Linked DNA regions of Canis lupus familiaris. The protein of the gene in region 4 interacts with the protein of the main gene of each other region in a pairwise test. Links are inferred from orthologs where the notes say so. Each region holds a gene or a part of one and is shown on either strand. Other genes may lie near its edges. The genes, in order: MID2, APEH, TAX1BP1 and LGALS8.

Region 1 (8,392 bases), on a different chromosome or scaffold from region 4:
CAACTTTTCTACAGATATGCCCACAGAAAATTAACACAGATGCTCTCCTCCCACACAATGACACACGTAGACATACACAGACAAACAAATTGAGTCATTCTCAGCTGCTCAACTATGCAGAAATCCACACACTCATATATGGTGACACATACATATATATGCAAATATACTCTCTCTCAACCCCGGCTTTCATAAAGATATTTCTCTCTTTCTCTTATATTAATAGTCATACTGGTTCCGAAATAGTAAAATGCCCAGTGGTAGATAAGATGAGAGGGTATCTGTCTTGGCAGACAGAAGTGGGTGTCAAGTGGGTGAGCAGACAAATGACTGGGAGAAGGTGGTGGCTGAGTGACAATGGGTGGGTGGATGACAGAGTGACTGAGTAGGAAGAAGGGCAAGCAATCAACTCTGATAAGATTCTAGAATATCATATCATATTTTCCAACCTTTTAACTGGCGTTGTGGCTTTCCTTTGAACATTCTCCAAGTCTCACATCTCCCTTCTCTTTGTCTAGCAATCTTGAGCTCTGTCTCAGCCTCTCTTTCCGTGTGTGTGTGTGTGTGTGTGGTGTGTGTTTCACTTTCCCATAACAAAAAACTTACTCTGGTGCCAGGTAATATTTTATAACAACGAGATCCCTGGTATGTAAGTGCAACTGCATTTAAGAATTATTTGTAGTAATGAATTTGTGGAAATGTAATGAGAAAAAGAAAATGTGCTTGTTTATTCCTTTCAGGAAATTCCTCTATTCCCCCTGATTTTCATCAGCTATATTTTTGGCAGGCTATGGGCATGGAAATGTGAAGACATCACTCTCAAAGAGAATTATAATAATCACATCTGATTTATACAGATGTCACCACAGGGTTAGGCAGTTGGAAAATCCAGTACTCCAAATGAATAGGCACTTAAAATTAAGGACATGCCATACTTTTGCTAACACTCTGGTTTTTAACATTATCAGGAGTTTGCAGGAGATTCTTTTTTTTCAGACCCCTAAAGTAGTCATAATGGCAAGACAGATTTATATCTCACAAGATGAGAGCTAAGGCAAGCTATAGACACTGCTATATTTCCCACAGATCCATTATTAATATTCCACTCATTTGGATTTCTTGAGCACATATTATGTGTGCAAGACACTAGGAGGATACTGAAGAAATAAAAGATAATGCGTCTGGCCTCAAAAAATTTATGGTAGAGCTGGGATGTGTTGGGGTGGCCTTGAAGGGTTTTAGCTGGGGACTAAAGAATTGGTAGGATTCCTAAGCAGGTCAAGAGAAAGAGCACAATGGGCAGCCCGGGTGGCTCAGTGGTTTAGCACCACCTTCAGCCTGGGACATGATCCTGGAGACCCAGAATCAAGTCCCATATCCGGCTCCCTGCATGGAGCCTGCTTCTCCCTCTGCCTGTGTCTCTGCCTCTCTCTCTCTCTCTCTCTCTCTCTCTCTGAGTGTGTGTGTGTGTGTGTGTGTGTCTCATGAATAAATAATAAACAAAATCTTTTAAAAAAAGAGCACAGGTCTAAGTTAGGAGTCATAAAAGAGAATGAGTGGTATGTTTAGCAGACAGGAAGCTAATCTGGGCAGAATAAAGGTACTACGTTTGAGAGTGGTAGGGGGCAAAGATGGATGGGTAGCATGTGAACTAAGTTGTACCAGACTTAGAATATCGAGTTGAGATCTGTCATCAATACAGAGCCACTGAAATTTGACCTCTTTTTAGAAAGCCAACATTCATTTTTTTAAGATTTTATTCATTTATTCATGAGAGACACACACAGAGAGAGGCAGAGACATAGGCAGAGGGAGAAGCAGGCTCCATGCAGGGAGCCTGATGTGGGACTCGATCCCAGGACCCCAGGATCACACCCTGGGCTGAAGGCGGGTGATAAACCACTGAGCCACCCAGGCATCCCTAAAGCCAACATTTATTAATGTAATAGTATCGATCTTTTCTACAGGGAGAAACTCATGAGCCAATGAAAACTCTTAACACGTGAAGCATTTTTATAGAAATGTGGCCACATGTCATGAGCTAAGATCATATATTGGGACACATAAGTGGAAAGAGAAGGAATGGAGGAAATAATTACTCTGATAGGCCTTTCTACTGTAATAACTGTTGGGAACAAAACTATTCTTTGAAATTGAAGAATTAATTGAACCACTGGTTGCCTTCCGAAGGACATGTAGTTAGAATGGACAAATAAAGAATGATAATAAACCATAGTAAGTATCCCAAACCCCCCTAATCCACTTTGAGCACATGTTAAGAAGACAGGCTGGCTTCTGGTTATTCCGACCTTTTGTCTTATAACATAACAGTGTGTTTATTCTTCATTGAATAAATAAATACTGGAGACCACTAATCCTACGGAGGGAAGTTAGTACAAATAGGGTAGTTATAAAGGCCAACAGTGAAGCTCCAGAACCAAAAAGGACAAATAAACACCATTTCACTTATGGGCCAAAAGTAAAACCCCTAGATATATGTACTATCATACCCCCCCCCCTTCTCCTGTAGGACTCCCATGCTCTTCAGGGCCAGAGGAGTATGCTCAAGGCCATCTCCTCCATAGCTTCTGACAACCAGCTTCCTCCTTTCTCCTTGGGGAAGAATTCGGCAGATTAAGGGAATAATCCCAAATGCTTTTCTAAATTAAAATTAAGCCAAAGAAGTGAGAATATGTGACACTAAGTCAAACTTCCTCTCCGCTTAATATGGAGAACTAATAGCCCTTTACACTTGGACACCAAAGTGATCCTCACACATCTAACACACACACACACACACACACACACACACACACACACACACAGAGCAGCAGCAGCAGCAGCAGCAACAGCAACAGCACCTCTCCCTCCCCAAAGTCCAAGATGTTCCAGACAATATAACAAACCACACAGTTGGGAATGATTCATATGTTTCCACTCTCAGTCCAAAAAATGAGCAAAAAAAAAAAAGTTTCCGCTTAATTTAAAATCAGAATTTTCTGCACATTTCCTTAAAAAATTAAAGGGGAACAATTCAAAATCTGGCCTTTCTTTCTCCAAAAATTACTGATTAGTTACATACTAAATTATCTTTTGGTAAAATACTTTTGTGCTGTGTCCAGCCCTAGAGACTTGGGCTATAGCTACATTATGCCAAATATCTAATCAATCATCCAGTGTTTTCATGTTTTCGGATGTTTTCAAAATCTGGTGTTCTGCAGATACAGGCTTATTCTATCCAGTCTTTTGTTATCTCAATCATACATATGGATACAGAGTTTTCTGTTTGGAGTATTTCTCAAGGCCAGTGCCTTATTATAGTTCCAACACCTGCAAACATTTGGCAGAGACTGTCCCATCCTCTCCATATCCCCTACTCTTCCTGCAACCCCACCTCCATCTCTTGCCATTATGAAGCTGTAAGTTTATACAGTATGTCCTTTCCTTGATGCTGTTAATCGTTTATCTGTGACCCATGAAATGTACAATTGCCAGAGCATAAAGTTAAGTTTCAAATCACATTTCATGGGCAAAACTGAGGTCCAAAACAAAGTGGCAGCAGGCTACAGCAGAAAGGATACTTAGAGTGCAGAAGCTGAGTTCCAGTTCCAATCCTGTGACTTTGACCAAATCACTTAACCCCTCAAAGTTTTAATTTATACCACATGACAGTGTAAGGCTTTGACTAGACCAAGTGCAAGGCCTGGCATCCTAGGAGTCTAAGAATGGAGTCAATGAGATTATTCCTCACCATAGTCTGGAAACGAGTAAGAAAATCACCCTGAGTGGAATCCACAAACATTGAACTTTGTACAAATCTGTACATATTAGATATAAATAAAAATCACAAAAGGCACAAACCACTGTCAGCGTGGCCACTCTCAATATCGCTTGCAACAAATTATGGGAGGGAAAATATATCCCATCCTGAGTATTGCTATCTTCACCAACCTCATGAAATGTTTACATGAGTTACCATGACTTGTTTGGGGCATGGCAAGAGGAAAATCTCCACTTCCTTTCTCCCCTCCTCCCATCCTATCCTCTTCCTTCCACCCTGATCTATCTAGCCAGTCCCTATTTGGGGGGTGGTAATCTCATTAGTCACATAAACATTTTATTTTCCTGGAGTTTCTGCTAAACAGCTCCCTTCTTAAGAGAAGTTAAACCCTATGGCAGGCAGGCCATGGGAATAAAGCAATTTGCTGGAGTTGACATTTGTTAACATCAACATGAGGCAGTAGGGTTTTACAAAATAGGTGCTTTGACTTGCACATAAATATTATATATACAGCATGACAACTTTGGGAAACTCTGTCCAATGAACGCCAATGAAATACTGGAAACTTCCAAGGCAGGCAACTGCAGCCCAGTGCTTCAGTCTCCAACCCACACACACTCAAAAAGAAAAAAAAAACTGCACGTTGGCACATCTAACACTGGATTAAATACTTATTGCCTGCAGTTGAAATTTTGAGTTCAGACAGCTGATTATCCCTCTTGACTTCGTAGTAAACTGAAGTTCCTTTTTTGTCTTTTGTTCTGTTTTGCTTTTGCTTTGTGAGGCAGGCTTAGAATCAGCCCTGTGCTAAGGGCTGGAGGGCAATTTTTGGCAAGCGGAGTGCCAAACCTGTTTCTTTAGCATGTCGAGAGGACAAACACATGTACTACTGTCCTCCACCAAAAAAAAAAAAAAAAAAAAAAAAAAAAAAAAAAAAAAAATCTCTCGCCTACATAGAGATACACTCAGACGCCTCCACCCACACCTCCACAGAGACACACCCAACCTTCCCATTGCTATACCCGCACCCAGGCATATCAGCACGTATGCTAATTACAGGACACCTACATAGGTACTCACATACCTAAAACAGGCGGAAAGATCATGACAAAGATAGATAGTGTGCAATATGTCACTGACAGAGGACAGACGGTGTTGTTTCTCTGGGCAGGCTACGTGTGGTACGGGCCAGAGGCTAACTCATCCAGAACTGGCCAGAGGTGAAGGGATGCAACAGGTTTGTGCCACTGATGAAGCAGGTCCCAGGGAGAGTTTGTGAGTGAGTAGGCAATTCCTCACGAGAACAACTTGGGAGTTAATTGACTTGTTACATAGGACAAGTGGACCTAGCTTGATTAGGGAACTTGCTAAGTGTGTATAACAATTGTGTGTAGAGACCAAGGTGTATAAGAGACATTTCCCAGATCCCTTACCTTGAGTTTCTCAAATCGGTCATTCAGGGACGCAACCTGATGGTCTCGGTGACGTCCCACCAGTTTGCATAAGGCACAGATCAATTGGTCATCAGATACACAATACATGTTCACTTTCTCGTTCTCGTGGTCCAGGCAGGTGATCCCTCGAAGGTGGGTGTCTGGCACGGGTTCCACCAGGCGGTGGCTGGTGAAAGGTTTCTTGTTGGGGTGTGTGGCCCGCAGGCAACGGTCACAGTAGGAGACCTCACAGGTGATGCATGTTTTCACTGCATCCCTGGGCGGGTCCTGCTCACAGAATTGGCAAGCAATTCGCTCACTAGACATGGCAGTGCTGGGCCTGTAAGTCCTTTCCCGGCGGCTCTCACTGGGGGAATTGGGCCCACTGACTGAAGCCTTCTGGAAGCGATCGATAATGTTCTGCAGAGTCACATTCCTCTTGAGGCCATCCAGGCCCCGGTGGTTCAGCGAGATAACATACCTGCATGTAGGACACTGGAAAGCAGTAATGGGTTCAATGGATTCACCAGAGCTGCAGCTTGAGACCAGGATGCGGTGGGCACAGCTAAAGCAGAGGCTGTGAGCGCAAGGGAGCAGAAGGGGGTCTTCGAACAACTCCAGGCAGATTGGACAGGTCAATTCAGACTCCAGTGTTTCCATCTTTAGTGAAAATAATCCTGCTGAGGCATTAAGAACCACAGAGGCTCTGCTTTCACCTGCGAGGAATACAAAGCAAGAGTCACTAGGCGTTTCCGAAGGAAACGTGGATGTAGCACAGTCACACACTAGCCAATGGAGGCTTTGCACGCTAGCTTCTCCAGTGGGGCTGGAGCAATAGGAAAGCAATCTGGGAATTAATCAAAAAGTCTTTCTGGGGAATCCCTGGGTGGCTCAGTGGTTTGGTGCCTGCCTTCAGCCCAGGGCATGATCCTGGAGTCCCAGATATAGTCCCGCATCAGGCTCCCTATGTGGAGCCTGCTTCTCCCTCTGCCTGTGCCTCTGCCTCTCTCTCTCTCTCTCTCTCTCTCTCTGTGTGTGTGTCTCATGAATAAATAAATAAAATCTTTTTTTTAAAAAGCCTTTCCCTACCCCCGCTTCAAACCTTGTTTTCAACAAATGTGCGAGTTTATGTTCCTGCACTAATAAATAGAACCAAGTAGTCACTTCTGAATCCTGGTTTGCTGGCTGACATAACTATTCCAGCTTATGAGACCAGTGCAGATCAGACCCCTCACATATTAGCCACTGACATCTCTGGTCCTGGACTGTGATGAGCCTGAGGCCCTGCAAAATTCTCAATCTCCATTCTCCAATACTGGTCTGTATTTTTCCTTCAAGGTAAAATAAAGGGGCTGTGCCTATTTCACATCTAGGGGAAGGAAAAAGGGCCATATTTCAAACTCTCTACTTCTTGAAATGATTCCATTCTGAGAGCTTGGGTGAAAAAGAAGAGCAAGCTTTGGAAAAAAAGGACTGCTCAGCATAGAATAATAAATTCTTCAGAGTGTGAACTCTAATTATTTCCTGGTGTCACTCATGGAAATTCCTGTTCTGTTCCAGTTCTAGTAAACTGAGTTACTAGAGATAAATGGTGCTGGTTTTCACTTCCTTCCTTCACCTTCAGCAAGCTCTTCATCTCATCAAGCTCAATGAGAAAGGACTTCCACTTTTCAACAAACTCAGCAATAGATGCTGATCAATAATGAAGACATATTACCTTTTGGTTTCAGCTGGGTTTTATTATTACACATTCACTGAACTAGCACAAGCCTACCATGAAGCTCACCTCCCCGTGTGTCTTTTCATACTTCCTAAAACATAACAGGATGCAAATCAACACCCAGATATAAATTAGCAAGGCGAGGAGCCAGCCAGTTCCACATCTGGTAATTTTCATTTTGGTATGTGCATCGCAGAGTAAAAGAAGTCACCCAATTAATGAAATTAATGAAACCAATCTCTTGGTCAATCTATCTCTTCTCCCACAGCCATTTCTGAGCTGAACATAATAGATATTGCCATGGGTCTTCTGTTAATTAAAATGAACACACATAAATGTTCTAAGCTAGCCTTAACTAAGGAAAAAATCTATCTTATCGACAGAAGGTGTTAATCTTATTTTTAGAAAAGAGAAAGCCGTCTTTGGCTCGTGAATAACTTTTGTTCATCATCTTACTATCATGGAAGACCCTCACTGGGGCTTGAAATTTTGATTCTGCCACTGAATAAAAACACCAGATGCATCCCTAAAAGCTGTTTCTAGATCAAACCTCTTAGGTGCACTAAACGAACTAGCTATTTAATGGAAATCTATAGGAAAAAGTTTAGAGTAAAGTAAAAGTAAAGAGTCTTTCTGGCAAAACAGCCACTCATGGTTGGTTTGGTAAGTTCAGACTGTATAACTACATTTTTAAAACATGAGACATGCAGTTATTCTGTTTATGATTTACAAGTGCTACAAAATTGTTGGCTGGCAATATGTAGTTTATAATACCTATCAGCATTCACCAATAGAGATGAAAGAGTACAATTACATTGTGCCTACATCACAAGACCTTAAAAGTGGAAGAAACTTTTAGTTAGAGATGATGGATTCCAACCTTTGCTCCAGGCAGGAGTATATCCTTTGATTGTTCCACTACTCAAGTTCAACATGGCCATAAATGAACTTGCTATCCTTCCTCTCTCCTCCCTCCCCCACCCAAAACCCAAAACACCTGTTCTTCCAGTTTTCCCTATCTGGTGAATATCACTAACCAAGCCTATAAACCTAGGAGTTCTCTCATTTACATGTTTATCACCACAACCACTAGTGGCTTCCAGAACCTTCTGTTTTATTTCATTTACATATCTCTGTCTCCAGCCAACTCTCCCTGCCCCTTAGGGCATCGATTGTTTTGTATTTTTATTCAGAACACAGTGCCTCATACATACTGGGTATTCACTAATTGTGAAATGAAGATCCCTTAAAGTAGAAGTCAGAAGAAGGGACCTAGCATTTATTGAGCACCTCCTGTATTCTGAATGGTGTTAAGCACTTTACACACATTACCTCATTAAATGCTGTCAAGAAGCCTGTGAGGAAGGAATTACCGTATCCATATTACAGCTAGGAAATTGGGGCTCAGCCCTGCTAAGTAAATTAACCAGGAACATATATACCCAGTGCACTGGATCA
Region 2 (8,166 bases), on a different chromosome or scaffold from region 4:
ACCGAAGTGTGGCTTATGCCAACCAGCTCATGCAGGGAGGCAGAGCTTCAGCTGCCCAAGTGTGTGTGCAGCCACAGCACAGCATTCATGAAGCTGTCTGACTCCACCTCCACTTCTGAAAGTGCATGGGTGCTTTTGGGATACAGCAGGAGCCTGTAGTTGTGCAATAATGTTTCAGGTTGGAGGGTTCTCCCCTGCTCCCCTGCCCACCAGCTGTCAGGGCTGTCCTGCCACACTCACCGAACAGGCACATTCCGGGCCTTGAGGGCACGGTAATACTCCATGCCCTGCTTGAAGGGCACACGCCGGTCCTCCTGGCCCAGCATCAGCAGCAGCGGCGTCTTTACCTGGGGACATGGGGAGTGGTGGTGAGCTGGGCTCTGGATAGATTGGCAGCACACCAGGCAGGGGGAGGACCACATACCTGAGGGGTATACTTGATGGGTGACTTGTCCAGCATCTCAGCCCACACACTGAGATCTGGCAGGCAGTCGCTGCTATAAGGGAAACCAGCCTCCACCACGCACCTGTAAGAGATTGCACTGAAGCATGCCCAAGGAGCCCTGGAGCCTGTGGGGGCTCTATGTGGGGTATGAGACAACACAGAGAAGGGCAGGGACCTGTGGAGCACACCCACCAGTCAGGGATGTCAGTGGAGCCCATCATGGAGGCAATGTTGATCACAGGGTTCCTCGCCACACAGGCCCTATAGGTCTCAGGGTACTGACCAATCAGGTGGCAGGAGAGGAAGCCACCATGGGAACCACCCATCAGAGCCACTCGGTCAGCGTCAAAGTGTTCCTCCTGGAGCACCTGCTCTACTGCAAACTACAGGGTGGGGCAGAGTGTGCTGCAGCTGGCTGCCCACCTGAATGAAACACACCCCAATACGGTTGACCCTCCAGCCTATCCAGAAGCCCCAGCCCCTGCTACCTGGACATCCTTCACATCCTGGTGGCCCACTTTGCCAGGAAGGGAGAGGATGCTGTCCTGGCCAAAACCCGTGGAGCCTCGATAGTTCACTGGAGGCCAGGGAGGAAGCAGATAAGGTGGTCAGTGACATTCCCAGCCCCCTGGATGCACTTTCATCCCTTGTGAAGTAGGCCTTAGGGCCAGCTGCACCACAGACTGTCAAGGCATGGGGCCAAGAGATTTGAGGCTATTGCCCAGTGACCACAGTACCATTTCCATGGAAGTCCCATGTTATTTCATGTTGTGACCACGCCGTGGAGCCTGAGGCTGGGCCATTACCAGGCTGCTGGTGCCAGGCTGCAGACAGGCCCGGAGACTAGGGTGCTACCCGTGGTGCTTACAAACCAGGCCACCCATCACCCTCCACAGCCCTACCACTGCTGTAGGGCTCTGCTTACTCACCTAGGAGTACTGCAAAACCCATCTTGCAAAGCATGGCTGGGAACAGCATCCAGGCAGTGACAAAGGATGAATGGGGTCCCCCTGCAGACATGGAGCAGAGAGTGAATGAGCCAGCTAGGATGGGCAGTGGGAGGGCAGCAGCTCTTAGACTGGATGCTTACCGTGGGGCATGACCACCATGGGCACTTGGGTCTTATCTGGAGGGTTGCTGGGCTGTAGAAGGATTGCTTCAAAGTCAAGGCCAGCTGCAGGGAGAAGGCAGGAGTTAGCAGAGCCAGTGCTGCTGCTGAGGTGTTTCCCCAGCAAAGGCCTGAGCTGCAGCTGCAGGTCTAGGGCTGACCTCTGAAAGAAAGATCTGGTCAAGGTAGCCTGCATCAGGACACCTGGGACTCCAGGTGGCTCATACTCCTCCTGTCTTAGTTGGGAGACCCACTCTGTCAGGACAGCATTCTAGATGAGATGTGGTCAGAGGCCTCGAATAAGGTAGCATCTTTGGGCTTTGGTTTCCCTACCACAGAGGATCTGGCCTGGTGATGCCCAGTCCTGATATCCAGACTAGGTGCCCACATACCCAGGCACTACTCCCCATGACCATGCACAAGAAGAACAGGAGGTCTCTTAGAGGTAATCCCAAGAAACGTCACAATGTGAGGGAGGGGCACAGAAGGGGTAATACGTGCAGGGAACTTGGGAGGTGTCCCTCTGCCCTGGCCCAGCTCACCGAACTGTACATTCTCTTGCTCTGGGGGTGGCTGCAGTACCCGGATGGCCCAGGAGATGTCAGAAATAGGCTCGGCCTCTTCCAGGGACACCCACAATACTGTCTGCTCCTTCCCGGCAGGAGGCAGGAACCCAACTTTCTGCCAAGGGGAAAAAGTGTGTCATAGGTGGCTTGGCTGCCTCTGCCACGTGGGAGGTGGGCAGCTCTCACTATGCTAGGCCTTTTACCACCTCGAGGGTACATCATAGACTAATGCTGTGAGCCGGTATATGCAGAAGCACTCCCACATAAACACACACCCTTCCCTCCTGAACTTTTAGGCTCTGCTGTGTCCTCTGCTGTGCCAGAGGACTGGGCACTTTCCTGGGTACCCTATTCTTTATAGAGCAGACCTACACCTGGTAGTAGCTCCCCATGGGTGCCAGACCCCTATGGACCATGCTGGGCTGGGACCACTTCTCGGCCTCCCACATGCTGACCAACCGCAGTCAGACTCAGGCCAGCTCCCTGACCTGGGGAGCTCTGCCTACACAGAACCCTCACTTCCTGGTCCGGGGCCCACCAACACTCACCAGGCTTGGGGGCAGGCTGGGCGTGGAGAACTGTGCCACCATGAGGTCCCGGTCAATTGTGAGCAGCTTCCAGCTTCCACCTGACCCCCCTGGAGAAGGCAGATGCCACCACCTTTCCCCCACCCACTCCCTGCACAGTCAGAGCCCCAGGGCAGTAGCTCTATGTCAGAGTGTCCCTTTCATCCCGAGAAGCAAAGGAACACCCACAAAAGGGTTGTCACAAACACCCAACTGCACACAGCCTTGGGTGAGCCTCTTGCTTAGTACCTCGTTCAACCAGCAGATGCTAAGCCCAGGGACTGGCAAATCTGGGGACACAGCCGACCATGGCATGTCCACCTACAACTTAGTGATTGCAATCAGCAGGGGTGGCAGGTAGGCCTAGGGGGGTGGAGTGGTGCTGATTCTGGGCATTGGGGTCCAAGGAAATTCTTAACCAGGGACTGTATGATGAGATACAATTTAGGAACAATATTTTGGAACTTCTGTGGAGGAAGGACTACAGTTAGGGCAGGTTGAGAACTCAAGATATTTTAGGGGCAGAATCAAAGGCCCAGATAAGAGAAGGATGAGGGGGCCAACGTAGAGTTTCTCATGGGCCCTGGGATAGCAGAGTTGCCTTTGCCTGAGGTTTTGGAAGTTGGGGGAAGGATGACTCTGGCAGATCTTGGCAAGAAAGAATTTTGTAGGTTTGAGAAGCAGGGGATGTGCTGAGTCAAGGCCTGGTTGTGCAGAGCAGAGTGGAGCAGGGGAGGCAGTCTGTTGGCTGGGAAGGTCCTGCATGGTCAGGGTCCTTGCAAGATGCAGTAAAGGCTGCGGGACAGTCAGTGGTGCAGAGTGGCCAAGGGTGCCACTACTGCCCCATGTGCTGGAGCTCCATTCCCACCCCTGGCCTGGCTGGCCTGCTCACCCGCCCTGCTCACCAGCGGTCAGGGAGGTCACACTGCCCATCTGGGTGTCCACAACAAACAGATCCTGAGGCAGAGGGGAGGACACATGTGGTACCACATCCAAGAGCCCTATGGGTCCCTCTCCCACCTCTCGACCCTCTTAGGGACCCCTGGGCCAGGCCAAGGCTGTGAACAACTATGGCAATGGCTCTTTAGTTGCCACTGGTAGTGGTATGGAGGCCTGGACTCAAATCCCAGCCCCATCACAACTTGCAGAGTGACTCTGGGTAAAGCAAGGAATGCCTCTGAGCCCCTGAGCTAGTATGAGAAACAAATGATATCACACTAAAGAAAAAGAATCTTGGCACACTGTGAGTGTCCTTACCCACATTTTTTCTCCCCATCTCCATTAGCTCTCTGTTTAGTGTTTGGGGACCCACCTGGTGGCAGCTGCCTCGTCCCCCAGCTGGAAATGCCTGGGGGAAGGGGAATTGTACCTCAGCCTCAGGAGAAAAGGCCAAGGGCTCTGCTGTGGGGCACCAGAGCAGGCAGGCAGTCTCCTTAAGAAAAAGTCCAGGACAGGGGCAGGCAGGGCCTAAAGGGGCTTGTAAGACCTGTGGCAGGGCATTCCACCCAGCAGTGTGTATATGCTATGCCCTGGGCCCAGGGTTCCTGGAGGTTGGTCGGGGGGCTGCCTCTCAACATAGGGCCCCTTACCTGCCGGCTACGCTGGGCTGAGTCAAAAACCACTCTCTGGCTGTCAGCTGACCAGCATCCCAAAGGCAGAAGGCTGCAGTAGATCCCAGAGAAGTTCTCTGCAAAGATGGGAGGGCTGAGGCCACATCCAGCAGTGGAGGTATGGGAGGTCAAGCCTATGAGGCCAGCTGGGTTGGAGAACTCTCCACCCCCCAGAACCCCTGCAACTGTGACAGAATGGCAGTCCTATACATGGGGGTACCTGAGGTGATAAGGGGCTGCCTGAAGAGGGGGCTGGGGGCAGAGGCCTCTGAGTGCCAGGAGAGGCAGAGCTCAAGAGCTTCTGAGAGCAACCATAGCTGCTTGGAAGAAATGCACTGGGTCTCCTATGTGTTGCTCTTACTGAGCCCCTGGTAGGCACCAAGTGCTATAACCAAGATGATACTGTCTGTCTGTCCATGATGGTGCTCAGCAGAATGCCTGGCAGAGGCACTCTGAATAGATCTATTCAGATCTATTCATATAGATCTATTCAGACCTATACTCTGAATAGATTTAGAGGGGGCTGAATAGATTCCACATTTGATATCACTCGTTTAACCCTTACTATAATGCTATAAAGAAGACAGAGGCTACCACCACCCACAGATAATAAATGGAAGCTCAGGGAGATGAGGATGCTGTCCGAGGACCTGTCATGGTTAAGAAGAGATCCCACTGACTCAGCAGCTTAGATAGGACAAACACTACAGTGGGGGCTGGGAGCAGGACAGTGTAGCACCCTTGAGCTTGTGGCTTCTCCAGGACTTTCCAACCTAGTGTGCTTTCTGAGGCCCCCCCTTGAGCAGAGGCTTTAACCAATCACTGGAAACACAAGCTCTGCCTAGGAGTTGCAGCATGGAAATGAAATCATCTAAATCGGGCAGCCCCGGTGGCGCAGCGGCTTAGCGCCGCCTGCAGCCCGGAGTGTGATCGTGGAGTCCCGGGATCGAGTCCTACGTCAGGCTCTCTGCATGGAGCCTGCTTCTCCCTCTGCCTGTGTCTCTGCCTCTCTCTCTCTGTGTCTCTCATGAATAAATAAATAAATAAAATCTTAAAAAAAAAAAAAAAAAAAAAGAAATCTAAATCCCCTGCCACCTTGGGCGACTCTGATCTCAGCTTTGGTCCTGCTGACTTGTATCAGAACTGTTCCCTAAGGTGAAGGTTCTGTTCCCCATGCAGGCTGGACACGGGGCTGGCCCAGCAGGGTGGGACACTTCAGATAGAAGCCAGAAAAGAAGAGCTGAGGCAGCTGGCCCCGCACAAGGATAACAGATGGCAGGAAAACAGAGCTGTAGGCTCTGCTGCACCTAACTGGAGACATACCCCTTACCTCCCAGTTGCCGAGGGACGACATCCACCACCACCGAGGTGACCTTGGTATACCAGTCATACTGCAAAAGAACACACTGGTCAGGCCCACCAGGGGACTGGCAGTGTCCTGAGGGCACAGAGCTCTTTACCCATCCTCTTCTCTGACCACCCTGGGTAGCCTCGGGGGAGGGGAGGACCTGAGACAAGCCTGATGTATTTCTTTTCTGGTAACCTGGACAGATGCCCAAAGGGGCCTGGGACTTTCCCAAGGAGTTGCTCTTGGGCAAGGACTAATACTTTGTAACTGCCAGCTACATCCCAGCCCCTTGTTGAGCCTGATCACGGGCAGATGAGAAGCAAAGGGAAGAGCATTCTTGTAGATAGAGGAGGCTCTAAGGTGGCGGGTCCTGACAGTGCAAAGCCCCATGCCAGCACGCTCAGCCTCTAGGTCCTGCCCTAGGAAGACAGACAGAACTCACACCATCACTGCACCCAAGACAGGAGGTCCAGTGAGGGGCCCATGGGGAGATGAAACTGACCCTTCAGCTCCCATCCACCATCGTTTCCTTTTGCTCACCACTCCCCACCCTCCTCCAGCTCACCAGACACAGCTGGCTACACTGATGATGGGGGACCAGAGATGGGTACCGCAGGTAGACAATGCGACACTGGTCTGGGCTCAGCCGGGGAGAAGACACAGCCAGAGAGTCATCTGAGAGAAGCTCTAGACCAGACGAAAATGTGAGCATCATGCAGGCCGGTAGGGCCAGTGTATGTGCCAGCAAAGCACAGGTAGGCACCAGCACTTACCACATTGACCCCCAGTGAGATCCACATAGTATAGGGCTGACCTGGAACCACCAGAGAGACACTCAGTTTCAGGCCAGACTAAGCTGAAAGGCCCCCTGCCCTGCCCCGCTTCCTCACCTGCGATTGGTGCAGAAGCGGATGCCCAGCCGGAAGGGCTCATGCCACCAGCCTACAAACACCACGCCTGTGTCTCCAGGGGCCCAGAATGCCTGTAAACAAAACCCCAGGGCAAGGGTGAACAAGGGGCAGCGGCTCAAGCAGGGCCCCCACACTCCCAGGAGTGAGGCAGGTTGAGTCAGTGCTAACCTGTCCAGGGGACACACTCTCAGGGACCCCTTCAAGCACAGAGATGTTGCCACTCTCGACATCCAGCACGCAGAGCACAGGAGTGCTTTTGGAAACCATGTTTTCTCCCCAGTCTTCATAAAACACAAACTGATCCCCCTAAGAATACAAAATACTCAATGTCCAGCCTGTCTTTCCTCCCCAGTTCTGACAGGCACGATGTGGGCAGGAAGCACACCGAGCCCTAGGCGGCCCCGGAGGGCCTTCACGGACTGGCCATAAACATGAGCACCTTGATGGCCTGGTCTGGTTTCTTCGGCCTGGCCATCTCCTCATCACTGCTGCTGACGTCCAAGGCTTTTGTCTGAAAGAAGGACTCAGTCTTCGGGCGCTTCTTCTCTGCCACATACAACAAGTGTGTCTCCGAGTGTGACCAGGACAGGCAGCCAAAGCAGTCTGGGTGTAAGGAAGGCTGATCAGGGGGAGACCTGGGTGATGGCTGCCCCTCCTGTCCACCCTGTCTCTCACCAGCCAGCTGCCTACCGTCCTCGTACACAAGCCCATGTTTCTCCAGCAATGACAGGTTGAAGCTCTTGAGCTTCCGGTTCTTCTCCCAAACCTGAGGACATCTGGGTGTCAGGTTACCTGCCCCCCCCAACAGAGCCTCATCTGTGGGACTGAGCCCCCCGTTGCCCACCACCTGGTCCCATACAGACTCACCTCCAGGAACTGCTTCTCCTCCCCAGGGCTTGTGCCTCCAGCCTTGCGCAGCACAGCTTTCATGGCGCCCGAAGGAGAGTCTCTGCTCAGCAGCCTGAGGAGGACATGGGGTAGGAAGTCGGGATCACCACCCACACAGTCCCATCCTGCCCCCTTATTGGCCACAACCTCTTAGACAAGATTCTTGAGACTGGTCTCACCTCCGCCCCTACAGCCCTTACAGCTCCATCATGGCAGCTGGCCTTGCCTCTCTTGCCTGGGGCACGGGCTCTACTCTCCCCAGCCCCCCTGAAGCTCCATGGGCTCTAGTTCAGGCTCAAGTTTGAACAAAGTCTCCAGTGCTCATCAGGCCATGTCAATTGAGACCACATGAGCTCCCAAGGGGCAAGAACCTGGCTCCTAGTCTTCCTTCAGGGCCCTACCTGCACCATGGCACATGGCAGGCCTTCATAAAAGGCTTGCAGATGGCTGTGGCCTTGCCCACAAGCTTCTTCCCTCAAACTTACTCCCCCCGGGTCTCCACACTGTTGCCTGCAGGCCCTGAGAACACCACTGAGTCCCCATCATGGAACACCAGGTACTGGCGGCAGAATCGAATGTTCTCCATGCGTTCCAGGTCCCTCTGGGTCCACTCTGTGAGGAGGCATGAGACTTAATTTGAGCTGACCAGTCCCAGTACAGGCTCCTTTCACCCCCTCACAAGGAAGGAAAGCCCAGGCCACCTCTGCAGTCTTTCTGGATATGC
Region 3 (6,898 bases), on a different chromosome or scaffold from region 4:
TTTAAAACGTGCAATGCAATAAGCATGGCAATTCCACTCTATTAAACATGATTTATTTTCTTGAGACTTCCCGCACGTATTCTGAAATTTTTACCACATACCTGAAATTCCTATCAAGTTTAAAAGTATTATCCAGGCAATTCTATAATCCAAGCGCATTCCATACCACTGTATTCATTTATGTAAGTATTATTTCTTAGAGAAAAGTTACAGCACTTGAAGTGCACGTGAGATAAGAGTTTGGCATTACCAAAGTAAAAAATAAGGCAATTCCCGGGATCAAGTCCCATGTCGGGCTCCCTGCATGGAACCTGCTTCTCCCTCTGCTTGTGTCTCTGTCTCTCTCTCTCTCTCTCTCAGTCTCTCATGAATAAATAAAATCTTTGAAAAAATAATAATAAGCAGGCTATGACCAAAAAAAATGAAGTTACATATACAGAAGCTTTATATGGGGAACCTGGGTAGCTCAGTTAAGCGTCTGTCTGCAGCTCAGATCATAATCCCAGGATCCTGTGATCAAGCCCCACTTTAGGCTCCCTACTCAGCATGGGGAGTCCGTTTTTGTTTCTCCCTCTGCCTCTCCCCCAGCTCATGCTCACAAGCTCCCAAATAAATAAAATCTTAAAAAAAAAAAAAAGGAAGCCTTATATGGCACACTGGTAAAGTTATTTGGTCTTGGCGTTATTCTACAGATAATGAAAAACTAAGAGTTTGAAACAAAAAGAAGATATGTTCAGATTTTCATTTTATAATATAGTTTATATACAGTACTTTGAAGAACAGATAAGGTAGGGGGACAAGAATGAAAACAGGGAAAACAAGTGCAATAATTTTGGAAAGGGCATAAAACTAGAGCACTGATATCACAGATACAAAAATACATATGCAATAAAATGTAAAGAAATGGTGTTTGAATAGATTTGAAAGGAAAGTAATTAGCTTTTGGCTTAGGCAATAGGCCATTAACTAAAAATTGAGGGGAAAAAAAAACTTCAAAGGAAAAAGGTAAAGATTCATCTTGAAATGCAATTTATCATACATCAGCCTACATACCTACATATGCAAAGACATCCCATTGCCCAAAATAGAAACCTACATTTTAATTTTAGCCTATAACTAAAGGTCTCCATAGATAGTCTGAAGCTTAATTCCAACATTACCTCCCTCTACTTTCCTAAATGAAGGTCATTTTCTAGTCAAACTAACTTGTCTCAATAACATTCTCAACTCTGTGGCTCTGCTTATACCATTTTCCTGCCAGAAATGCCCCTCCTTTCCCTCAATCTTATTTCCTTGCTCTACTTTTGTCTGACCAATTCCTATACAAAACACCAATTTTCACTCAGCTTCTTTAACTTGATAACCCATACTTCACATAAAATCAAACCAGTACTAACTTCATAAAAATGCTTACAATGAATGTATCCCCATTTTGGAATTTGACTCAAACAATAAATAGATTAAAAAATAGTAAATGATTCCTCTATCATCAAAATCAAGGAAGGGATTCAAAAAAGAAATGAAACGTCATTAGATGCCAAAACTTTCTTTGTCCAATAGTTTTTCGGCCCTCCTCACTCTAAAAGGCTGACTTTCACTTCTAGATACCTGTGTTTCATTCTGGCAGCTGTTCTTTCTTTCTACTTTGTTGTAACTTATACACACCATGCAATCAAAATTTCAAGACCCTTAAAATCATATCTAAAACTCATTCTGAGGGAGAATCTAGAGGAACTGAGGAGAAAAGTTTTATTATTTGGACATTTACGACATTTTGATTGTTGAAAGGACACTTTTTAATTTTATTTAAGTAATCTCTACACCCAATGTGGGGCTCAAACTCACAAACCCAAGATCGAGAGTCACATGTTCTTCCAACTGAGCCAGCCAGGCACCCTAAGGACTCACCTCACGTTTTAGTTATCCACTACATTCTTAAGAGTTGAAATTGCCAGTAAATTTCTAGCACAGAGAAGCACCACCATAAAGATCACCTCAAAGTAATTCTCAAGCAACTACTATACAAAATGACTAGCAAAAGGTAAGAACTGGGATTCCTGTCATCAGAGAGTTTACTATTTAGTCATGTAAAAACAGAATACTCTTAATAAAATGGGGCAGCCCGGGTGGCTCAGCAGTTTAGCACTGTCGTCAGCCCTGGGCCTGATCCTGGAGACCCAGGATCAAGTCCCATGTCGGGCTCCCTGCATGAAGCCTGCTTCTTCCTCTGCCTGTGTTTCTGCCTCATGAATAAATAAAATTTAGAAAAAAAAAAAAAAAAAAGCATAAAATGACATGAGCAATAATTAATCAACGTAGAATAGAAAAATAACACGGCTGTAGAGTTGTATAAAATTAATTATAAATGACTGAAGAGATAGTAAATGATAAAGCAACTCAAAGGAAAAGACCTTTTTTCAAATAAGGAATGGAAAAAATGGAAGGGAAAGAAAGGTTCCAAAAAGTGTTTCACAGACCTTTTGATCAGAGAGACGGGCAAAACTGGTGAACTTTAGTTCCCAGTATCGTATACCACCCTGCACTATTAGGTGTTTCATGTTTATAAAGCATTTAAGTTTACAAATGTAAAAAGACCCTTATCGCAGAGTGAAGACAAGGCTAATACAAGCTACTTATCAACCTGCTTAAAAAGAAAATAGAGTACCTATACCTACATGGAAGAAACATGCAACAAACTGTTCTTACCTTGAATATACCAACCCAATCTTTTGGATGTGGATGGATATATGGAGTTAAGGTGTAATGACATTCCAGGTGTGCATTAGGAAGATAACTCTTGGCCACATTTTGAAAGATGACATGGGCAAAGTTGGAAGTCTGCAAGGGGACTTCTTGAAAGGATGTCATTGTGAATCTGAAACAAGCAAATCATACAAGTTGAATGATACCAACTAACACAAAGTTTATACCTTCAGAAAATACACAAAACTAAATGCAAATTACAAGAGCATCTGCATGCCATAATTATTGAGAAGACACACACTTGGAATTCCTCCTTAAAAACATGATTGAGGGCAGACCCGGTAGCTTAGCGGTTTTGCACCGCCTTCCGCCCAGGGCGCGATCCTGGAGATCTGGGATTAAGACCAACGCCAGGCTCCCTGCATGGAGCCTGCTTCTCCCTCTGCCTGTTTGTGTGTGTCTCTCTATCTCTAATAAATAAATAATTAAAAAAAACATGATTGAATATATAAAAATACAAACTGATGGAATGCCTGGGTGGCTAAGTGGTTGGATGCATCTGCCTTTGGCTCAGGGTGTAATCCCAGAGTACCTGAGTCAAGTCCCACATCAGGCTCCCTGCATGGAGCCTGCTTCTCCCTCTGCCTATGTCCCTGCCTGTGTCCCTCATGAATAAACAAAATCTTTTTAAGAAATAAAACTACAGGGGATCCCTGGGTGGCGCAGCGGTTTGGCGCCTGCCTTTGGCCCAGGGCGCGATCCTGGAGACCCGGGATCGAGTCCCACGTCGGGCTCTCGGTGCATGGAGCCTGCTTCTCCCTCTGCCTGTGTCTCTGCCTCTCTCTCTCTCTCTCTCTCTCTGTGACTATCATAAATAAATAAAAATTAAAAAAAAATTTAAAAAAAAAAAAAAGAAATAAAACTACATCTGCAAGACATAAATGTTTCCCATATTTTGTGCTCTACTTTTGAGAAAAAGGATACAACTGAGGATTTACTCAAAAAATCTATACAGTATCACAGACTCAGTACAATTATTGATTGTATACTACATATAAGAAACTATGACAATGTCCCTATAGTACTTGCTCCTGTATCATCATAAAAATCCCCATAATGTGACAGGAAAACCTGGGCAAGCTTTTTGCTAACCAAATGAATCTAATTTACTTTATAAATCAATAAAGTCTCTATAGGGCAAGCACAGCAGTTAGTCTCTATTCATATTTTAACTATTAAAATCTTAATTGTTAAGATTGAAGACAACATGCTTATACGTTTCTTTTGCTGACCTGTTTGAAACACTAAGGCAAATTTTCAAAATTTCAAGATAAATACTTCAGAAAATATCCACTTTTCTTCTTGTATCTTCTCTGCTTCTGTTAAAGTACTGCTTTACTGGAACAGTATATTAGACATCTCATAAAGAGACTATCAATGGTGAGCCTGGGAGCCACCATGGTAGAGTACCAGTCTAGTTGTCAGTTAGCCTCTCCACAACCTGAGCTTTGCCAGGATTCCAATGCAAGGAGAGTGCATCCAGTAGCAATCCTCCTGTCCATGGCTTATTACCAGCAGCCCTATTTTACAGAAGGATTTGACTATCACTATTATGCCAAAGCCATCAATAAAACGAAAAGATAGCACTTACATACAAACACTGGGAACGCTGTCTAAAATAAATGAAGAGTTTTATTACTTTCTTTGAATTGTCTGAGCTAATTTGGGCTCAGGGGGATGTCATGATGCTAATAAAATCACTAATGATAATCGCTTTTCAAGTCAATGGTTATACTAGTTAAGAGAAACAATAGCTAAAAATCAATGAAACCAACTTCTAGCAGATCCAACTACCAAAACTGAGACAAATGAATGAATCAGTAATATATTTCTAGGGAGAAAATAAGTATTTAGGATTCTCTGAGGAAAACATTTAGTAAGGAAAAAATAAGGTTAGCTTAGACTGAGTTGCCAATGTTTTTTGCTAAAAGTAATTTAAGAATGAAACTTTTTCTTAAGACTTAACATATTTCCTTTTTTTTTTTTTAAGATTTATTTATTTATTCACGAGAGACACAGAGAGAGAGAGGCAGAGACAGGCAGAGGGAGAGGCAGGCTCCATGCAGGTCTCCAGGATCACACCCTGAGCTGCAGGCGGTGCTAAACCGCTGTGCCACGCCACCGGGGCTGCCCTTAAGACTTAACATATTTCCTAAAGTAAACTAAATCAACAAAGCTGTAATTGTTATAAAACAAGTCAGTGAAGTTTAAACTTTTGTTTAACCTCAACTACACTGTTTTAAAAATCTATAATCCAATCTTACACTTTCGCTTCACTGAAAAAGTAGAAAGTAGGAAGGTATACTTCCTACTATGTATTTATGTATTTATGTATATGTATTTATTTATGTGTATGTGTGTATATACACTTACAAATGCATCAAAAAGGACTAAAAAATACAAGAGTTAATAACAAATGCATCAAAAAGGACTTAAAATAAAGTTAATAGTCTTTACTCATGAGGGACTATGTGTGAAGACTTTTAATGGATTTTTTATCAGTATGTATAAACTCATCTTCATTTTAAATCAACATATTGACATGAAATTTCATTTTAAACCTTCCCCCATTCAAGTTTTTAATAGAAGACTCTAACATCAGACTTTAAATATATTCATGATTATAAATCTTTTTTTTTTAATTTTTATTTATTTATTTATGATAGTCACAGAGAGAGAGAGAGAGAGGCAGAGACATAGGCAGAGGGAGAAGCAGGCTCCATGCACCGGGAGCCTGACGTGGGATTCGATCCCGGGTCTCCAGGATCACGCCCTGGGCCAAAGGCAGGCGCCAAACCACTGCGCCACCCAGGGATCCCCATGATTATAAATCTTAAGAGTAAAATAATTTGTGACCATTCTATTAACCTTATTATCTCTCCCCAACACTCCAATCTAAAAATTTCAGTGCAACTATAGAATTGTTTCACAAGTCATTCCATTCTCACGTTTTAAAAACTTTTTTTAAAAATTAAATTCCAATATTATCTTCTAGTCATAAAAAGTAACAAGGGATAATGTAATCTGAATGCAATTACCACATGAATCAACCCATTTTAAATAGTAAAATAAAATTTCCCATATAATTCCTGTTTTATACGTATGCAGATAAAGAGGGCAAGCTTATAAAAATGCTAAAATTTATTGAGAATGTCAATTTATCAAGATGATTCAGACAGATTTATACAATATCCATGCTCATGCGCACGCGCACACACACACACACACACAGCCCAGTGGGGAAGTAATGTGCAGTCACTGCATCACCTTGTGGTAATGCTTGGGAAGTGTAGCTTCACTAACATCCTGAGAAAAGACACTGCACCTTAGCTGAAGAGGAAACATAGCCCCTTTACACACAAAGGGAAGTAGAAGCTGCTGTACTATACCAAATTTTGCTTCCCATTCTCTTAACGTACATCTCCAGAAACACAGGTACATTAAGATGCAAGCCAAAGGCTAAACAAAAATTTTCCACTCAAGGGCAGCCCGGGTGGCTCAGCAGTTTAGCACTGCCTTCAGCTCAGGGCATGATCCTGGAGACCCCGGATCGAGTCCCACGTCAGGCTCCCTGCATGGAGCCTGCTTCTCCCTCTGCCTGTGTCTCTGCCTCTCTCTCTCTCTCCCTGTGTCTCTCATGAATAAATAAATAAAATCTTAAAAAAAAATCCACTCAAGAATTAAAGAACCAAATACATTAGCTGAGAAACAAAGTCTGAAATGCATATATATATATATATATATATATATATATATATATATATATATATATATATATAAATGTCTGCAAGTGCCCTCTTCCATGTTTTCTACCATATTCCCCAAAGGTACAAAATGTCTAGAGTTCCTTAGTATGTGCTATACTGTAAACTTTATAAAGTCTTTGATCTAAATTCCAATTTTGATATTTGGGGGGATTCATCAATATCTAAGGAAAAGATAAATACTATGCAGCCAGTGGGCACTTAATTAAGTAGCTAAAAGAAAGAGAGGGGTCGAAGCACTTTAATGTTATGTTTAATTCTTCCTCCTGGAACTTTTTCAAGCCCAAAACAAATCTAGCTTTTGTGGTAGTATTTTTCCAGTGGCTTCTGATAGTCATTTACTGGACTAGCCCTTAGTCAACTAAACTAGA
Region 4 (8,392 bases):
GTGTTCGAATTCCACTGGTGGTAATGAAGAATTACTAGTATGAGAAGGTTTCAGATTTCTTTGAAAGCTTTGAACGCTTTGAAGTTTTCTAATTTCTGATGTCATGTCAAGTAAAGACTCAAATCTGCATTTGAGGCATTTTATTTACTTACACCTTTTTTAAAAACTTAAAGCATCTAAGAACTGTCCCATAGAATGTTTAGTTTGAAATTCTTTGTTCTAATTTAATGTAGAAATTTAGTGCAGAATTGTGACAAAACACTAAACTGCAGCGTTAGAGATAACAGCTTGCTAGGAATCTGCATTCCCATCTAAGAAATGTCTTGGTAAGATTACTCAGTAAGTACTGACAGCTTCTTTTCAAAGCACATTGATATTTTATATTCTTTCCGTCAGAGAATCCATTTTATGTCTTTAGTAATACCTCCACATGACACAAAAGTGAACATCAAGTGTGTTTAGAAATGAAAGGAAACGATGTATATGGGCTTTTATTTTTCCTTTAAGAGCCCCATAGTCTGCATCTCGTTCAAGCCCTCTGATGTTCTTTATGGAGGGAAAAACCCCTGGGGGATTCCTTCTTCAGTTTTCCCAGTGAAAGTTAGGACCCCAACTCTGCTCCCCACGAGCTTGGCAAGACGCAACATAATAAGTTAACATGAATAGAAAAGAATTAAGTGCCAGAAGCTTCTACACTGAGTACTTATAAAAAATCAGATTGCTAGTTGTCTTTTCAGTATATGGGTACAAATAATATCTAACCAAAATCTTTAAGGAAAATATTCCTAAACACTGGCAGCATATTCAGCCCAACAACTGAACATGATAAAATGATCAAACCGACTTAGCTTTTTTACCTCCCCACTCCCAAGCGTTTGAAATTTCCTATAACAAGATCTGACCTGTAAGAATTGTACAAATAACTGCCAACTCGCTTCAAAGAATAGGAAAAAATTACAGAAATGCAAAAATTTAACTTGCTGATACAGGTTTGATTTTAATCACTGAATAATGTTTTGATCTCCATTGCTAATGATGAGGGACCAATCTTTAGAACAGAGAAGTGGAGTTTATTTGCATGCAGACAAGCAAGAGATTTTTATACTGCCTCTCTCTACCTCATGATAGCGCCTATTTTACAGTCATGAAATCTAATCTTGACATTGCTTTGTTACCCATAAACATTTTACAGATTAAAATCATCTACCTTAAACTTTCTATTTGGAGTACATGTAAACCTCTTGACTCACCCTGAATTCAGCTACTCTAAAGCATTTCTGGTACAGACACTGGCGGCATAGACTGACCTCAAGTTAATTTTAATACCATTGGTTTTGTTTTGCTGCATTGTTTGCCTTAATCTTTGTACTGTGTTCAGATTTCATGTTAGAGCTAGATATTTATCCTGCTGAAGGAAACTGCCAGATGTAAGGCAACATCAGTCCTTTAATTATTGGATATGACTGAACTCTGGGTTTGAAAGCGATCGCTAGAGAAGTAATGTCTTGTAAATTAGTATGGAGGTAACTTCACAGCTCAGTAATTGTCTCTGGTTCCTTTATGCGTTAATACCCGTAGAAAAGTCAGTGGCACGATGGCAGAGCACAGAGGATTCTGAGCTCAAGAGAACAGGAACAGAGTGGTATTGTGCTCCACTGTATACATTTATCCCCAGCTCTAGCACGTTGCTGGCAAAAAAAAATAAGTGCTCAATATATGTTAGCTTCTATATGAATAGATACTTGTTGAATGTGAAGCAGATTTTAAAAAGAAGAGGCTGGGGTGGGAGAGAGAACAGAAATGCCTGAAAAATGACTAAGTTACTGTTGCCTCAGATTTCCTTACTCTGTGCTAGATAGACAAAGCCACACTGCATGGCAAGGACTGAGAATACCTAGTAGGATTTCATATTATGCAAGCTCATTTTAACAAAATATACGTATAAACAATATAATAGATGCATTTTAACGAAGCCAGTGTTAACATAAGACATTTTGTATTTCAGTTTTTGTAGCAAGCATGTCAGCTACCAGCTCCTTACTTCCAGTAAATGAATATCTCCATCAATTTCCAGCGTGTCAATATTGCTAAGCTCTTTAAATCTGTGTTTGTACTCCAGGCTGTGTACACCATTTACCGCAACCTTGAATTCTCTAACATCACAATAAATGATCATCTGGAAGGAAAGTACGACAACATTAGTGGCTCCCTCAGTTCAACACTTTGTTTCTTGCACACTTCCGGGATATCAAAAAGTAAACCCACGGGGTTTGCTTTCTACAGAGACACTCTCCCAGCCTGCTGCTGCTAACTTCTCTTCTAAGACTCTTAAGTTTATCTGGTAGCAGCACCTTCTGCTTTGTCCCACTCAGAGAAGTCACTGAGCATGCTTGAAGCCTCACCCTGTCCCCAGGGCCTGAGGCCTCTCTCCTGCCCCTTGCTCCCAGCAAAGTGGAAAATTGCCCTCCACCCATGTTTGGGAACTGTAATGACAGGAAAACTGCCATATTGACACAGGGGAGCAGATTCCATAAGTGGGAAACCAAGGGACCTGAGCCATGACTTTTTTGCCTTAAACTCTAGGGTCTTAGACAAACCATGCATCAAAAATTTCAGAAGTTTAGGGCACCCTCTAGGACTGCCCAGCTGTGTGGGGACTGTGACTTCCATCCCAGCTCAGCACATCTTGGTCTCCCCATCCATTTCCCAAAAGCAGTATTCTGGGCAGTAATCCATGGAGGAATTAGCTTTCTGGCAAAGATTTAACTCAGATTCATGACTGGTGTTGGCCTTTCATGTCAGCCTTTCACAGAGTTGTCTGCCTAAAACTCAAAATAGTGAAAAACAAAAGAAACTACAATCCTTTTAAATCACACCTAACACTCATACTTCTGATAACACATTCCTGATGCCAGTCTGGCCACAATTCTACCATTTATTCTCCACCCACACTAAAAAGACCAGTTTGGTGAACCTGTACCATGTTCTCCCTTCTGCCTCTTCCCTGTGTCAGGGCTTCAGAAGAGCAGAAAGGAGCAGCACAGCCCTGCTGCTAACTCCGTTTCCATCCCCAGGATCTAGACTGAGGCAAATCTAAATCTGTAAAGACAGTGTGCAGGTTATTTTGCTTCTACTAGTAAAAGTGGCTGCTGGGGAAAATTCCATGGATAGAAGAGCTAACTAACAGAAACTGGGGCTACACAGAGAATTGGGAAAATATCCATAACCTGGGATTCTATCATCCCAAAAAGTGGTGGAAATCCCAGTTTTAACCAGGTGGAAGAAACCCTCAGTAACATACATTTAACGAAATCTCAAGAGAACATAAAGCACAGCCTAATGCCCAGAAGGGAAAACAAGTTGGCATCAGAGGGGTATACTGGGAAGAGTCCATCAGTCACCCTTATTGTACCAGAGCAAGCATGGTGCCACTGCCTCACAAATGGAAGGAAATGCCTATAGCCCAGGGAACATACTGCCGCAAAACAAGTACACAACTTGCAGAAAACAGACCCACAATCTCTAAGAAAACATGGAACAACAATCCTTTACAACCATCTGATGTTCTAGAATAGCTCATAACATTATAGGATGATAAAAAAAAAAATACAAAACTGAAAGATATTTCTCAAAAGACTCTAGTAGCTGGAACTAATAAATGAATTTGAAACAACAGAAAGTAGTGGTTAATATCAAAGTAACAGTATAATGAAATAATCTGAGAATCTAAATGAAAGCATATTAAAAAGATTGTTTTTTCTCTGCTTCCAACTCCCTATCACTACAGAAAACTAAAAACAATGGTCCAACATGAGAGTAATTACTGTTCCTGAGGCAGAAAACTAACAAAAGGAAAAGATTATTTAAAAGAATGCTTGTCCTTTTCTATTTTAACATAGAGCTAAACTTGGGGGTCGGATCAAAGAGCAACTTCTATCACTGGTTTCCTGTCACCAACCACAAGGATCCACGGCCTTCTGAAACAGTCACTGCTGTCTTCCCCACAATGAGCCCTCAGTCACCTTTTATACCTGGACTCCTGCCAAGCCAACAATCCCCTGGCTGCCCTCCCCACGTCCCCACCTTGCCCAAACCATTCCCTCAATCTGGAAAACCCACCTTTAACTTTACCCTCCTACATCCTTCTGAATTCCAAACCAATATCCACAACTTCCAGGAAACCTCCTAGGATTAGGTCACATCTGTTACTCTACATACCAGGAGTTTAGGAATACATATGAATGTCCGATTACCATCTTCTATTCAGCCTCGATGTTCCTACCTTTAACAACTAGTTTTGATGAGTCCTAATGGTCCAGAGCATGTGACAGTTTAAAATACAGAAGCATGACCTAAATCAATGACCCTGAATGACCACGTAGACAGTGCTTCACCTAAGCTAGTGAGTGAACCTAGCCAACCACCCAGCATCCACATTAAGGAGATTACTGTCTGTAAGCATCCAGAAACACATTTTAGGACAGGTTGTGTTACCATAATATTCACACATTTGGGGAACTTGGGACCATAGCACTTCCAAGCTCCAAGGGTCTAAAATCTCTTTCCTTAAATATATACAAGCAGGACTAACCTGGAAGAAAGGACTGCCACCTGAGGCTATATATACTCAAGATGGCAGGTGACAGAACAGGCAATTTTATGGTTCCTATGCCCTCATGTTCTCTTAGGATTATCCTAATCATGTTTCTCCGTCCTAAAGCAAGGTTCCTGTTAAAATTCCTATGAACTAATATGGGACCATCCAGTAATAATTCCAGTGCAAATAATGTAATAGTCCACTGGCTATGCCATTTATGCCAATCAAAATACCAACTGTATTTTGAATGCCCCTTTTATAATGCAGATACTCCCCAAATAAAAGCCACATGCAATCTCCACATATTAAGCTAGGGCTTAATTTTAAAAGACTTATTTCTCCTATACTTCCTCCCAGGATTCTTTGTTCTGTCCGATAAGATCATCTTACCTCAAAGTACATCCCAGGACTAAATGGGAAACAGGTAATATTTCTCTCTTCTTCTCCCCAGGACTCGTGAAGAAAAGAGTTTCTTACAAATGCTTTAATATTCAGGCGTGGGTTCAAGTGAAGAGCAATATCCTTTGATTTTCCTGATACTAGGTCAACATTAAAGCTTTTGAGAGAATTAAAAAAAAATTAACCAAGTAGAAGAGAGAAGTACAGTTTCTGCAATTTTAACAGTCAGAACTGAGCTCTGATCATAATTGCATAAAACACATGTGTGCACACAGACATACCAATGCAGATGGGAAGGTAAAATTTAAAATTTTGAGGGACACCTGGGTGGCTCAGCAGTTGAGCATCTGCCTTCGGCTCAGGTTGTGATCCTGGGGTCCTGGGATCAAGTCTCACATCAGGCTCTCCACAGGGAACCTGCCTCTCCCTCTGCCTATGTCTCTGCCTCTCTCCCTCTGTCTCTCATGAATAAATAAATAAATCTTTAAAAAATATTTTAATTTTGAGTTAGCATGCCACTGATGTAAATGTGCTCTCTGCAAAATAAAAATATAAAAAATTTTAACATCAGTGTTAAACACTTCAACACTGAAGCTACAGATCTGGATGGGAAGCAATTGAAGGATTAGAGCAAGTAACCGAAATGCTTGCTTTGGGCTACAGGAGGATGGGGTCCTTTCAAGTACATATTCTCTTTTAACATTGACAAGTGTTCTGTTCTTCTTGAAAGTGTACTACTTTCTAGGAAATAGGTAATTTCAAGCTTCCAGAAGTCTCAACGTCTCTAGAAAAGGTTCCTAAGGCAGAAATCGTATAAGTCGCATGACGTGAGGGGCCCTAACAAAAGTCACCTGACCACAGACTGACCTGAACCTTCTACAAGGCATGCATAGCTTCCCGGACAAAAACACCACCCTCTTATCTGGCCACAAAAACCCTAGCTCAAAAGAGAGGCCTTTACTCCTAATTCTGCCACCAGCTAGTTGTCAGCAGTCTTGTTAGCAGCCTGACTTCCTGTTGCTTTGAGAGTCTCTTTCAGGTGAGGATTAGGACACTACTCCTGCTTCCATCTCACAAGACAGGTAGAGCATAAGAGGCCATTAAGAGACACACATGGAGGGCAGCCCTGGTGGCTCAGCAGTTTAGCGCCGCGCTCAGCCCAGGGCCTGATCCTGGAGACCCGGGATTGAGTCCCACGTCAGGCTCCCTGCATGGAGCCTGCTTCTCCCTCTGCCTGTGTCTCTGCCTCTCTCTCTCTCTCTCTCATGAATAAATACAATCTTAAAAAAAAAAAAAAAGACACATGGAAAGCAGTCACACTATTCCTGGTAACAGCGGTACTGACCCTTTGGCAGTTTTATTCACTTCTCCTTTAATGACAACAGTTCGTCCAGGGCCCATTGAGGAGTTCAACCTTGCAGTGAATGGCAGAGTCTGAAGAGAAACCACAGTCAGCGCTAGGAAGCCTGCAGAAAGTGACCTCATGGGAAAACTGTCCGAAGACACTGGGCAATGGTCAAAAGTCATAATCCTGTAAACCCCAGCAGTCAGCACTGCCCGGCTCACAGTGGAAACTCAATGAAAGCATTTCAGACAAGGAAATGAATACATGTGAGGTGGGGCCTGAAATCCCTCGTATGAGTGAGATCCACTCTGAGAAAGATGCTATGCATGGGGTCCTGATGCCATGCTCCACCTTCTGCCTGAGGGGAGGAAGCTCAGATGGGAGGCATTACGGAAATACTTGCTCGGGGGCCCAGAGAGTCAATGCCCAGCTGACTCTTCTCTCCAGGGTCAGCACAGAAACGCAGAGTTGGCTGCTTTGGGCTTCTACTGAGGGTATGAATTCTACATTACCAGCTAATTAAAATTTAATTTGTTATACAGAATTAGGAAAACTTTTGGCTCTTCAAACCTTTGACAAACAGCTGGTAGGTAGTATTTTGGCGCAAGTCAAAGTGTGATTGGCAGTCGAATCTTTGCTCTTGGTGTAGACAGTTCTGGGTACAATTTTAGAAATGTCTCCTCTATTACTAGGCTGTTGGGGAAAGAGTTCTGCAGTAAGGTATGGAAGGAGTGAGGCTGTCTTCTAAGGTTTAAATATTCATGTCTTGGGTGATTTTATAAAACATTCCACGCTATAACTGAGGCAAAAATACTTACAAAATGTGGTGTGTCGGGCTTTAGTACCTATTGGAGGAGAAAGTCAAGATGAAGACGTTTGAAAGGGAAAAACTACATTTTATAACATGAACAGTCAGATCTTAATGGTTACAACAGCCAGAGCCAGGATGGTAGTGCCTGCTCAGCCCTGGGAATGACAGACAAACGGCCTGCACTTCCTGACTGTGGCTGGGGATACAGTCCTGGGGTCCTGGTCATCTTAAGCCTGTATACTCCGCCATAAATTAATTATTCACAGGACTATATGTGAACTTGAGACATGTTTTACTTGTTCTTTCCAAGGTGCTCCCAAAATGCTGAAATACTACATTCTATCTACGAGGTCACATGTTCTGAGATCATTAAGACATCACTTTCTCCCCTGATACCAAAGACTCGGTGTTTAAACTATACTTGTTCCTACAGGGGGGAAGATATGTGTGGAAGTTCATCTGCCAAAGCACTGTGCCCAGTATTTATAAGTACCATGTGACAGTTCTCTTCAGCAGTTGAGAGGGGTTTTTTACACAAGAATCACAGGAGGGGGCAGATACACTACAAACTCAAGGGTCTGCAAAACTCAAAACTCGAGAGTCTGCAAAACTCACAGAGCCTGGTACAAAAATATATGCCTTACTTTTCAAATGCTTACTTCCAGCATATTATTATTAAAAATAACCTTTCGCATTCAAAACATAATTTAAAAAACTTTAGCCTGCTTGCCACCTGATTTACATGACAACTAAGAGAGCATTTTTATTTTTAGTATTATTATTATTATTTTTTTTTTTTAAGAGAGCATTTTTAAACTGGTAGTTCATTCTTAGCTTTAATATTTACATTTTCTTTACTTATCTCTGTCAGTTCCAGAGTAGATGCTTGGGTACTTCTGAAATCCTGAAGATAAGATTAATTTTTAACAGCCATCAGAACTTTAAATACAACCTCCTTGACATATCAAAAAAGAATTATAAATAGTATTAAACATGAAAATATGCTTGAAGATCATGATCCAGAAATGTGCTTAACATTAGAGTCCTTCCCCACCCCCCACCCCCCATCAGATTGGCAAGCGAGAAAGAATACTAAGAACGAGCATCAAGAAAAGTGGGAGTAGTCCGGCACACTGCTGAGACTACATTGTTGGTAATCTTTCTGGAGGACGAGCCAACTAGCCCTCCAACTAGGATCACTTATAACTTAAAATGCAAATGTCCTTTAACTCAGACTTTC

The links.
Region 1: the proteins of LGALS8 (region 4) and MID2 interact in binary tests that used the Homo sapiens proteins (3 or more experiments, as listed by UniProt). The two-hybrid records come from large-scale screens. The link is inferred for Canis lupus familiaris from reciprocal best matches to the Homo sapiens genes LGALS8 and MID2.
Region 2: the proteins of LGALS8 (region 4) and APEH interact in binary tests that used the Homo sapiens proteins (3 or more experiments, as listed by UniProt). The two-hybrid records come from large-scale screens. The link is inferred for Canis lupus familiaris from reciprocal best matches to the Homo sapiens genes LGALS8 and APEH.
Region 3: the proteins of LGALS8 (region 4) and TAX1BP1 interact in binary tests that used the Homo sapiens proteins (3 or more experiments, as listed by UniProt). The link is inferred for Canis lupus familiaris from reciprocal best matches to the Homo sapiens genes LGALS8 and TAX1BP1.

Annotation. Positions count from the first base shown.
Region 1 is NC_049260.1:81,979,442-81,987,833, reverse strand, and holds part of MID2 (probable E3 ubiquitin-protein ligase MID2), read right to left. Parts: intron 5,931-8,392; coding exon 5,215-5,930; intron 1-5,214. UniProt on the Homo sapiens protein: E3 ubiquitin ligase that plays a role in microtubule stabilization. Mediates the 'Lys-48'-linked polyubiquitination of LRRK2 to drive its localization to microtubules and its proteasomal degradation in neurons.
Region 2 is NC_049241.1:39,995,227-40,003,392, forward strand, and holds part of APEH (acylamino-acid-releasing enzyme), read right to left. Parts: intron 8,055-8,166; coding exon 7,928-8,054; intron 7,516-7,927; coding exon 7,422-7,515; intron 7,321-7,421; coding exon 7,245-7,320; intron 7,158-7,244; coding exon 6,994-7,157; intron 6,861-6,993; coding exon 6,723-6,860; intron 6,626-6,722; coding exon 6,534-6,625; intron 6,458-6,533; coding exon 6,417-6,457; intron 6,331-6,416; coding exon 6,209-6,330; intron 5,687-6,208; coding exon 5,626-5,686; intron 4,373-5,625; coding exon 4,275-4,372; intron 4,034-4,274; coding exon 3,998-4,033; intron 3,643-3,997; coding exon 3,591-3,642; intron 2,757-3,590; coding exon 2,668-2,756; intron 2,235-2,667; coding exon 2,096-2,234; intron 1,620-2,095; coding exon 1,536-1,619; intron 1,456-1,535; coding exon 1,375-1,455; intron 1,023-1,374; coding exon 934-1,022; intron 829-933; coding exon 638-828; intron 528-637; coding exon 425-527; intron 348-424; coding exon 241-347; and 3 more. UniProt on the Homo sapiens protein: This enzyme catalyzes the hydrolysis of the N-terminal peptide bond of an N-acetylated peptide to generate an N-acetylated amino acid and a peptide with a free N-terminus. It preferentially cleaves off Ac-Ala, Ac-Met and Ac-Ser.
Region 3 is NC_049235.1:40,945,730-40,952,627, reverse strand, and holds part of TAX1BP1 (tax1-binding protein 1), read right to left. Parts: intron 2,876-6,898; 5' UTR 2,869-2,875; coding exon 2,707-2,868; intron 1-2,706.
Region 4 is NC_049225.1:3,918,463-3,926,854, forward strand, and holds the end of LGALS8 (galectin-8), read right to left. Parts: intron 8,057-8,392; coding exon 8,000-8,056; intron 7,187-7,999; coding exon 7,160-7,186; intron 6,431-7,159; coding exon 6,342-6,430; intron 5,154-6,341; coding exon 4,988-5,153; intron 2,177-4,987; coding exon 2,027-2,176; downstream 1-2,026.